2 linked regions of the Rattus norvegicus genome follow. The protein of the gene in region 2 purifies or fractionates together with the protein of the main gene of each other region. This does not show direct contact. Links are inferred from orthologs where the notes say so. Each region holds a gene or a part of one and is shown on either strand. Other genes may lie near its edges.

Region 1 (4,447 bases), on a different chromosome or scaffold from region 2:
CAGCTTCTCAGAGCTGGTGGTGGATCAATAGCAGGGACAGAACATACCGTGTCTCCCCTTATTGCTATCTCTCCTTCACTCCCCAGACCCTGGCACTTTCCAAATAAACTTAACATGTCTCTTCTGTCTCTTTAACATCACCGTAAAGAGACACAGGCTGGCGCTTACTATTTACTTGAGTGTGTATGTCAGACACAGCTTGGAAAAGGCAGTATTTTCCTCTACTACATGGGTCCTGGGGATGGGACTCTGGGTGTCAGGCTTGAAAGAAAACACCTTTACCCACTGAACCATCTCACAGGCCCTTAGCAGACATTTAAAGGCCAGGTGGTGGTGGTGGTGGTGTTTCCAGCTGCCTCAGCACATTCCTTTGATCCCAGCCCTCTGAGGTGAACTCAGAAGCAGGTGGATTTCTTTCTTTCTTTCTTTTTTTTTTTTTTTAAAGATTTATTTTATTTATTATATATAAGTACACTGTAGCTGTCTTCAGATACACCAGAAGAGGGCATCGGATCTCCTTACAGATGGTTGTGAGCCACCATGTGGTTGCTGGGAATTGAACTCAGGACCTCTGGAAGAGCAGTCGGGTGCTCTTAACTGCTGAGCCATCTCTCCAGCCCAGCAGGTGGATTTCTTGTGTTTGAGGCTACCTGGTCTACAGAGGGAGTTTCTTTAACAGCCAGGGCTTCAAGAGAAACCTTGTCTTGAAAAACAGCAAACAAACAAACAAAACAACAACAAAAACCCAAACTCACCACTACCACCAACAGCAAAAATTACAAAAGGCTGGGCATGGTGGTGCATGCCTTTAAAATTCCAGCCCTTGGGAGGCAAAGGCAGATGGGTTCCTGAGAATTTGAAGTTAGGCTGGTCTGAATAGAAAATCTTTTTTTTTTTTTTTGGTTCTTTTTTTCGGAGCTGGGGACCGAACCCAGGGCCTTGCGCTTCCTAGGTAAGCGCTCCACCACTGAGCTAAATCCCCAGCCCCCTGAATAGAAAATCTTAAAGGCCAGCCAAAGCTATTAGAGAGACCTTGTCTCAAAAAGTATAAAAACGGGGTTGGGGATTTAGCTCAGTGGTAGAGCGCTTGCCTAAGAAGCGCAAGGCCCTGGGTTTGATCCCCAGCTCCGAAAAAAAGAACCAAAAAAAAAAAAAAAAGAAAAAGTATAAAAACAAACCAACCAAAACCAAGCCACAGCTGATGTCACTTGAGCCTTCACTAGCTCTAGGAGAAAGACACTGTCAGCATGCTTACTGTACACAAAGGGACACTGAGGCTCAAAAAGGCTTCTCAGGCACCAAGCCCAAGTTCAGTTCTTGGAAGGAGAGAATTGGTAGGAGAGTACTGACTCCCACAGGTAGTCTCTGACCTCCAGACGTGTATTAAGGATTGTGTTCTGATAGACAGACAGGCAGACAGACAATGTACAATAAGAAAATTAACAAGCAGCTGCTGGAGAGATGTCTCAGGGGTGGAGGATTACTGCTCCTACAGAGGACCCAATTTTGAAAGCTCGTAAACCATATTAAAGAGTAAGGGCTCAGCGGCTAACCAGTGAGACAATCTTGGAAAGTCTATAGAGAGGAAAGCAGCACACACGATGACTATTTAGAAAAAAGATGAAGAGCAGTGAGAGACCGGGAGATAGCCTGATGGGTAAACATGCTCAGTCTTACCCCGAGTCTAGATCGTCAGAGCCCAGACACAGTGGCATTCCCAGTGAGAGGGACAGGCAGTGAAGACAATCGAAGCCCCTGGAAACTCCCAGGGCAGCTAGCACAGAGTATTAATTTCTTCAAAGAAATAAAGCAGACTTTCCAGGTAATGAGTGGGCTAGAAATTTATAATTCCCCAAGGGGAAAAATTCCCGAGGGGGCACCACAGAAAACCCTAGAGATTAAGAACTTAATCTTGGAGCTGGAAAGAAGATGGCTTAGCCATTAACAGCACTTGCTGCTCTTGCAGAGGACAAAAGTAGGTCCCCAGCACCCACAGGTGGTGGCCCACAACTGTGTAACTCCAGCTCCTGTAGACACAACGTCCTCTTCGGGTCTCTGAAGGCACCTGTACTCACACACATAATTAAGATTTTTTTCTTTTTCTTTTCTTTTCTTTTTTTTTTTCTTTTTTCTTTTTTTCGGAGCTGGGGACCGAACCCAGGGCCTTCCGCTTGCTAGGCAAGCGCTCTACCACTGAGCTAAATCCCCAACCCCAAGATTTTTTTTTAAAAAAAGAAGTTAATCTTGAGTAGCTAGAGAAAAATCAAATGGCGAACAAGGTTAAGTGACAGCAGGCAGAAGACACACTTAAACGTCACGTCTATTTAAACGGTTTTCAGAAGGATTCCACAGGACACGCTGACCAGAGGGAACTTTCAGTGGCTGAGCCTGGGGACCTTACGGCAACCGTGTAAGCTCGGGAAGACCTTCCCCTGATGCCTCTGGAAAGCGGCGTGACAAATTTGAGCTTTCTGGGGCAGAATTATCTTGGAGAGCAAGGCAAGGATGGTCTGCAGTGGCATCGAGACGGGTCACAGTAGAAAACCCACAGGACTCACAGTAGGGACAGCTGAGAAGAGTGAGGGGCAGAAATATACGAGTGAAGTCAAGTGGCCCTGGAGTCCCCCACGCGGGCCCTGCCATCTCCGCGCGCAGTGTGTCAGCCCCTGGGTCGCGGCGCGGGCGCCTCACCTGCAGGCTTGTCTGCAGCCATCTTCCCGCCTCGGCTCGAGTTCTTCCCTGCAGGTGGCGTGGCCCTGACTCCCGCCGCCGGGCTGGTGGCGGGTCCTGTAGGCGGGGGAAAACTCTTCAACTCAAGCCGGCTTCGGTCGCCTCTGGTTCGGTCCTGGGCGGGCCACGGGCTGAGGAAGTGACGAACTCACTGTTCGTCGTCTAGCAACAGCACCAACACATCCGCCAGTGGAGGACTGTTTTCCCCGCCATCCACGGCTTCCGTTCTGTAGCGCCCAAGGAAGACAGTACTTCCGGGGCGGGGCCAGCTGGAAGGCCAGCTGGGCGTGGGAATTAGGGCTAGCCGCGGCCCCGGAAGCGGGTCCTTGTGCAAAGCCGGAAGTGTATTAGTGCAGGTCCTGAGTGAAACACGGAAGGGGAAGGGCATTTTGTTCCGCATTTCACCAAAATGACGGGTATCACACCTGATGTCTATACGCTAATCGCTTAATCTCACATGGCCTGTACTATTTCACCGATTTTCCACAACAATGAGGATGAGGGAGATGTTATTAGAGGCCACCCCCCCATATAAAAGCCTTTTTTAAAAAAAAGTCTCAGCCATTTTGTTATTTGTAGCCAAGTTGGAAAATTCAGAGTTCCTGCATTATGCATCCGGTTTCTCTGGTTGCGAATCCTGCAACAGTTAACTTATGTAGGTCACATCTAAGACATCAGCTTGGTGCATCACTATTACTAAGCACAATGGTTTAGATTCATGTTCAAGAACTCTGCAAAAACAATACCCATCCTTAACGACCCAGGCATCTCCAGCCATATATCTTGACAGATTTTTGTTTGATTAATTTTTTGAGACAGAGTCTCTCTATGTATCCTTGCTGCAGTCTTTGGATAAAGCAAAGGATTTATCCCTGAACTGGTTCTGGTTTTGTTCAATGACCTCAGCCTTGGGTTCCAGAAGCACGTACTCCATCCTTCCTTTCCCTTCTAGGGAATAACCAGTATTTATAATAACAGAGGTTCAGATCATGGAGGGAAACAGACACCAGAGGCATTTGTGTTAGACTTTTTGCTTCTGTGATAAATACCCTGAAGGAGAATTTAAGTGAGGAAGAATGGATTTTTGCCTCAGGTATCAGAATTTTCAGTCCCGGGTCACTTGGTTCCATTGTTTTGGGGCCCTTGGTGAAGCAGTGCATTGTGCCAGGGCACAAGTTATAGAGTAAAGTTGTTGACTTCCTGGTGGCTAGAAGCAGAGGAAACTGGAAGAAGAAAGAGCCTCCAAGGGCACATTCCACTGAGATTCTTACTCCCACTGGGCTCCATGTCCTTATTTTCCATTGCTTCCTAATGATGCATCAAATTACGACTCTGCTAGTGGGTGAATCTAAGGATAGTTCCAAACTGGTGGAATCCTATTACCACTCGCAAAGACTGGGGTCCTGGCCTCCTATTTAGAGGCTTTTGAGGGAGGGGAACGTCATATATAAATGACAACAGCAACAGCACTGAATTGTAAAGTAACCATCACACCAGGTACTCCTCATAAGATTCGGAAATTTTTATTTTTTTTTATTTTTTTTTAAAGATTTATTTATTTATTTATTTATTTATTTATTTATTTATTTATTTATTATAAGTACACTGTAGCTGTCTTCAGATACACCAGAAGAGGGCATCGGATCTCTTTACAGATGGTTGTGAGCCACCATGTGGTTGCTGGGAATTGAACTCATGACCTCTGGAAGAGCAGTCG
Region 2 (3,808 bases):
AAATCTTAGTCTGATTTTAGCATTTGACTTGCAACTGAAATAAAAATACTTGTTTAATGACTCTCATGTTTTACCTGAGACATTATCTCATTTTCAGGGCGGATCTTTAAAACTACCAGTGAATAGCTTTGCGCAGATTCATCAATCAGATTCTCTGGGACTGAGAGCCTATCTCATCAAACACCAAGGCAACTTAAGGACTGAGAACCACTTGTTCTACCTGGTAAAGAAGACATCTTGCAGAAGCACACACAATAATGTGAGGCCCCCAGGCTTCCCTGAGGAGGACTGTGCTTCTTCCCTCACCACTCCTGGGCACTCATGCAGAGGCTGGCTGGACCGTGGTACAGGGCAGCCCCAGACCAGCTGCATACTGCAGGGCAGAAGAATGAGCTTGTGCTTGTAGATGGTGACTATGATCAAGTAAAGCTCCATCAACCGGGCAAAGCCAAGGAGATGCACAAAACCTCTAACAGGTGATAGGCAGGCCCTGATTACAGCCACATGGCAGAAAGGCTTTAGAGCTGCTCCTATAAAAGAACTTCAATTGCCCAATGATTCCATAACTGACAGAACCCAGACAAGCAGAGTACTATACAGGGAAACTTGAAACAAAATTAACACTTAGCCTGTTGCTGTTGGAAGCATGAGAAGGACCACACTGGCTGGAGCCCGGTAGCATGGAGCATGCCACCCAGCACTTCTTATCCCTGGAAAACAGCTACACTATTTAGTCATTTGCTACAAGAGTATCCGTCGGAGAATTCACACAGACACGGAGTACACACCAATGGTATGACCAGAGGGACCCCAGCATACCTGGCCCGAGCAGTGGTGACCGATTCAGCTGAGTGCCAGCCTGGTGTGAAGGCGGCGTCTCGGCCCGGTGTGTGGTGCTGCTCAAGGTGGGGGTCGTGGGGGTGGCAGGGGCTGTGGTACTGCTCTGGATGACTGGATTGTTTCTGTCCCACATGTTTACAGTTTTATTGTTGTAGGTGCTTGGGTCCCCCCAAGCTGAGGTACCATCATCAACTTCCATTTTGCGTCGGATGGAGGGTGGGGAAGGCTCCTCCCAGCCAGTCGCCTCACTGCTGTCCTTCTGCTTGACTGGCAGTGGCCCCCCAATCCACCCCGTCCCTGTCTGCTTAACAGAAGCAGCTCCCCCCCAGTTACTCACATTGTTGTCTTGGGGCTTGTGAGCCCAGTTCTGCTGGGGACCAGGCTTGAGAGACTCCCCCCAGTTTGTACCTGGATTCACCTTAGCATTGGTGCCACTGGCCCAGCCACTGGTCCCACACCTCGTGGCATCATTCCAACCAGACCCTGACCTACTACCATCAGCATCCCATCCAGATCCACTTTTCTTTCCATCCCCTAGATGTCCAAGGACAGATGGTGAGTCTGCCCAGTCTCCTGCTCCTGCACTCCAGGCTGGGTTTGCTCTTTGTCCATCGCCCCAGTTTTGGGATTTGGGTTTCTGAGGCTCACCCCAGGTGGGTGACTTGTCCTCTTGGTTTACAGTCCCACTCCAAGCATGGCCACTCTTGGTGGCAGCAGCATTGTTAACAGCAGTAGAGCTTATTGAGTCCCCCCAAACTCCTGGGCCACTTGGCGCTTTGTTGTTGCTGTCTCCCCAGCTTGTGTTTGCTGGCACGGCGGCAGGTGGCGAGCTGACCCACCCCGATACTGAAGAGGTATTTGTACTGTTCATGATGGACCCATCAGTCTTCCCCCCTGAGTTTGAAGGCTGAGTAGCTACACTACCCCAGGCCTCTGTCCCATTGTCATTTTTCCTTTCAGACCTAGGGGACTCTTCAAATTCCCAGGCAGTGTTTTGCTTTACGGGAGTCTGTCCCCAACCACTATTAGACAGAACTCTTGGGTCAAGATCATTCCTTGGCAACTGGATGTGCCCTTGGTCTAGAACCCCTTTGTCTCGCCTCCGGCCCTCTCCTGCTCCTTCCCTCCCAGTGCTTCCTTCATTGTGACTGCCGGACCCCTCACTGCTTCCTTCACTTGCTGTAGTTCCAGAAGATGTGGCTTTGGCCCATGAGTTCATGTGTTCACTGCCAGGCTGCAGGGCAGGGGTCTGGCTGGCAGCACTGGCACTGTCCCACCCTGTTGATCCTTTCCCATTGATGTCACTACTGGAATGCTGGTTTGGGGGCTTCGCCCACTCCCCATTCACACCATTAGAAGAACTTCGGCTGGGGTGGCCCCAAGCTCCCGAATGGATATTCCCAATGCCGTTGCCATTGCCCCTTCCCCAGGCCAGGATGCCAGGCCCTGCAGGAGGCCCCGAGTCCCAGGCGTTCCCTCCATTCCCCTCCTTCTGCGCAGCACTGCTGGATCCATTCTGCTTAGCACTTAATGCTGAGTTCACAGTGTCTCCTCCATTCCCCTGACTGAACCCACAATTGGTACTTCCTGTGGCAGGGTTGCCAGGGGACAGTCCCCACACAGAACTGCCCATTCCTTCCCCACCACTCCCACTGCCTTGAGAGACTGATGATCCGTTAGCACCAGGAAGGCCTTGCAGGTGGGGTGGGATGATGGCCCCCATACCAACAGCCATGCCCCAGTTTGGCAGTCCGTTTGTCTGCATTGCATTGATAGGGTTTGGTGAAGAGTTATTCAAGGGGTTAGTGTTATTTGGTCCATCAGTGTTAAGGTTCTGAGGTTGTACGCTGAAAGACACATTCTGAGAAGTGGACGTTTGTGGTTCTGTGCTCTCTTGGGGCAGCAAGTTTCCCCAGGCACCCAGGGTGCCCACTGGGTTCCCATTCTGGCTGCCCATACTCTGACCTATGGCACTGACTGGACTGCAAATACTGGAAGGGTTGCCTGTTGCCACAGTTCCTTCATGCCCAAGTACAGGCCAGGCAGCTGGGTTGGCATTAGGATTGAGGCTGAGATTAATGCCCGCATTGGAGTTGGAAGCACCCCAGCAATTCTGACTTCTCCCATCTCCAATCATGTTGTCCATTTTCCCATCTCCACCACCAACAGAGCAGTGAGCCAGGCCAGAGCTGGAGCCGGTGGCTACACCCCACACTCTGGCCATGCCCCCATTCCCATTGGCTGCTCCTGCCCCAAGGGCACTCGGGTTAGAAGGGCTTTGGACGAGTGTGCCATTGGTGCCATGACTGCCATTCGTCTTCTTCGGGTGGCCGGGGAAGCTGCTCTGGGTGCTCCCTGTAGCCATGCTACTGTTCTCGGAGCCACAGTTGGAGGCAGAGTCAGTGTCGGTAGGACATTCTGAGGCAGATTCAGTCTCTGTTACTGGGGTGGACGGCCACAGCTCTTGGTCAGTCCTGTCTATTATCACTTTATCCCAGCTGCAGTCTGCTTCACTTCTGTAAGAGGGATGCTGTCCCCAGTGACAATTTTCATAGTGACCTGCCAATCCACTGTGACCAAGATCTGGAAAAACAAGAAACAAAACTCAAAGTTACACTCTCCTCCCACTGCCAATGAAGCAACTCGTTTGGGGAGAAAACTAGCCTTTTATTTCCTATTCTCAATTCTAAATCAGAAAACACGGACCAAGCCTTATGGGGCTGTGGGTGTGGCTCGGACGTGGAGCACTTGCCTAGCACATCTAAGGTCCTGGGTTCCATCCTAGGACTACAAAAACAAACAACAACAATAACAACCAACCAACCCACCCCCTTAAAATCCCACGTTTCCTTGACGTTATCAAGATGATAGGACTGAGTGTGCAGGAGACAGCAACCAACATCTAAAAATCTACCTCCATGAAATTCTTAAGAATCTAATGGTGTGGGGCATGGACACCATTTCTTCT

The links.
Region 1: the proteins of Tnrc6c (region 2) and Cnot10 purify together in Homo sapiens (co-immunoprecipitation; 3 studies listed by BioGRID and IntAct, with this or other methods). This does not show direct contact. The link is inferred for Rattus norvegicus from reciprocal best matches to the Homo sapiens genes TNRC6C and CNOT10.

What each region holds. Positions count from the first base shown.
Region 1 is NC_086026.1:123,205,330-123,209,776, forward strand, and holds the start of Cnot10 (CCR4-NOT transcription complex subunit 10), read right to left. Parts: upstream 2,839-4,447; 5' UTR 2,714-2,838; coding exon 2,692-2,713; intron 901-2,691; exon of another isoform or gene 1-900. UniProt on the Homo sapiens protein: Component of the CCR4-NOT complex which is one of the major cellular mRNA deadenylases and is linked to various cellular processes including bulk mRNA degradation, miRNA-mediated repression, translational repression during translational initiation and general transcription regulation.
Region 2 is NC_086028.1:103,432,688-103,436,495, reverse strand, and holds part of Tnrc6c (trinucleotide repeat containing adaptor 6C), read right to left. Parts: intron 3,424-3,808; coding exon 820-3,423; intron 798-819; exon of another isoform or gene 1-797. UniProt on the Homo sapiens protein: Plays a role in RNA-mediated gene silencing by micro-RNAs (miRNAs). Required for miRNA-dependent translational repression of complementary mRNAs by argonaute family proteins.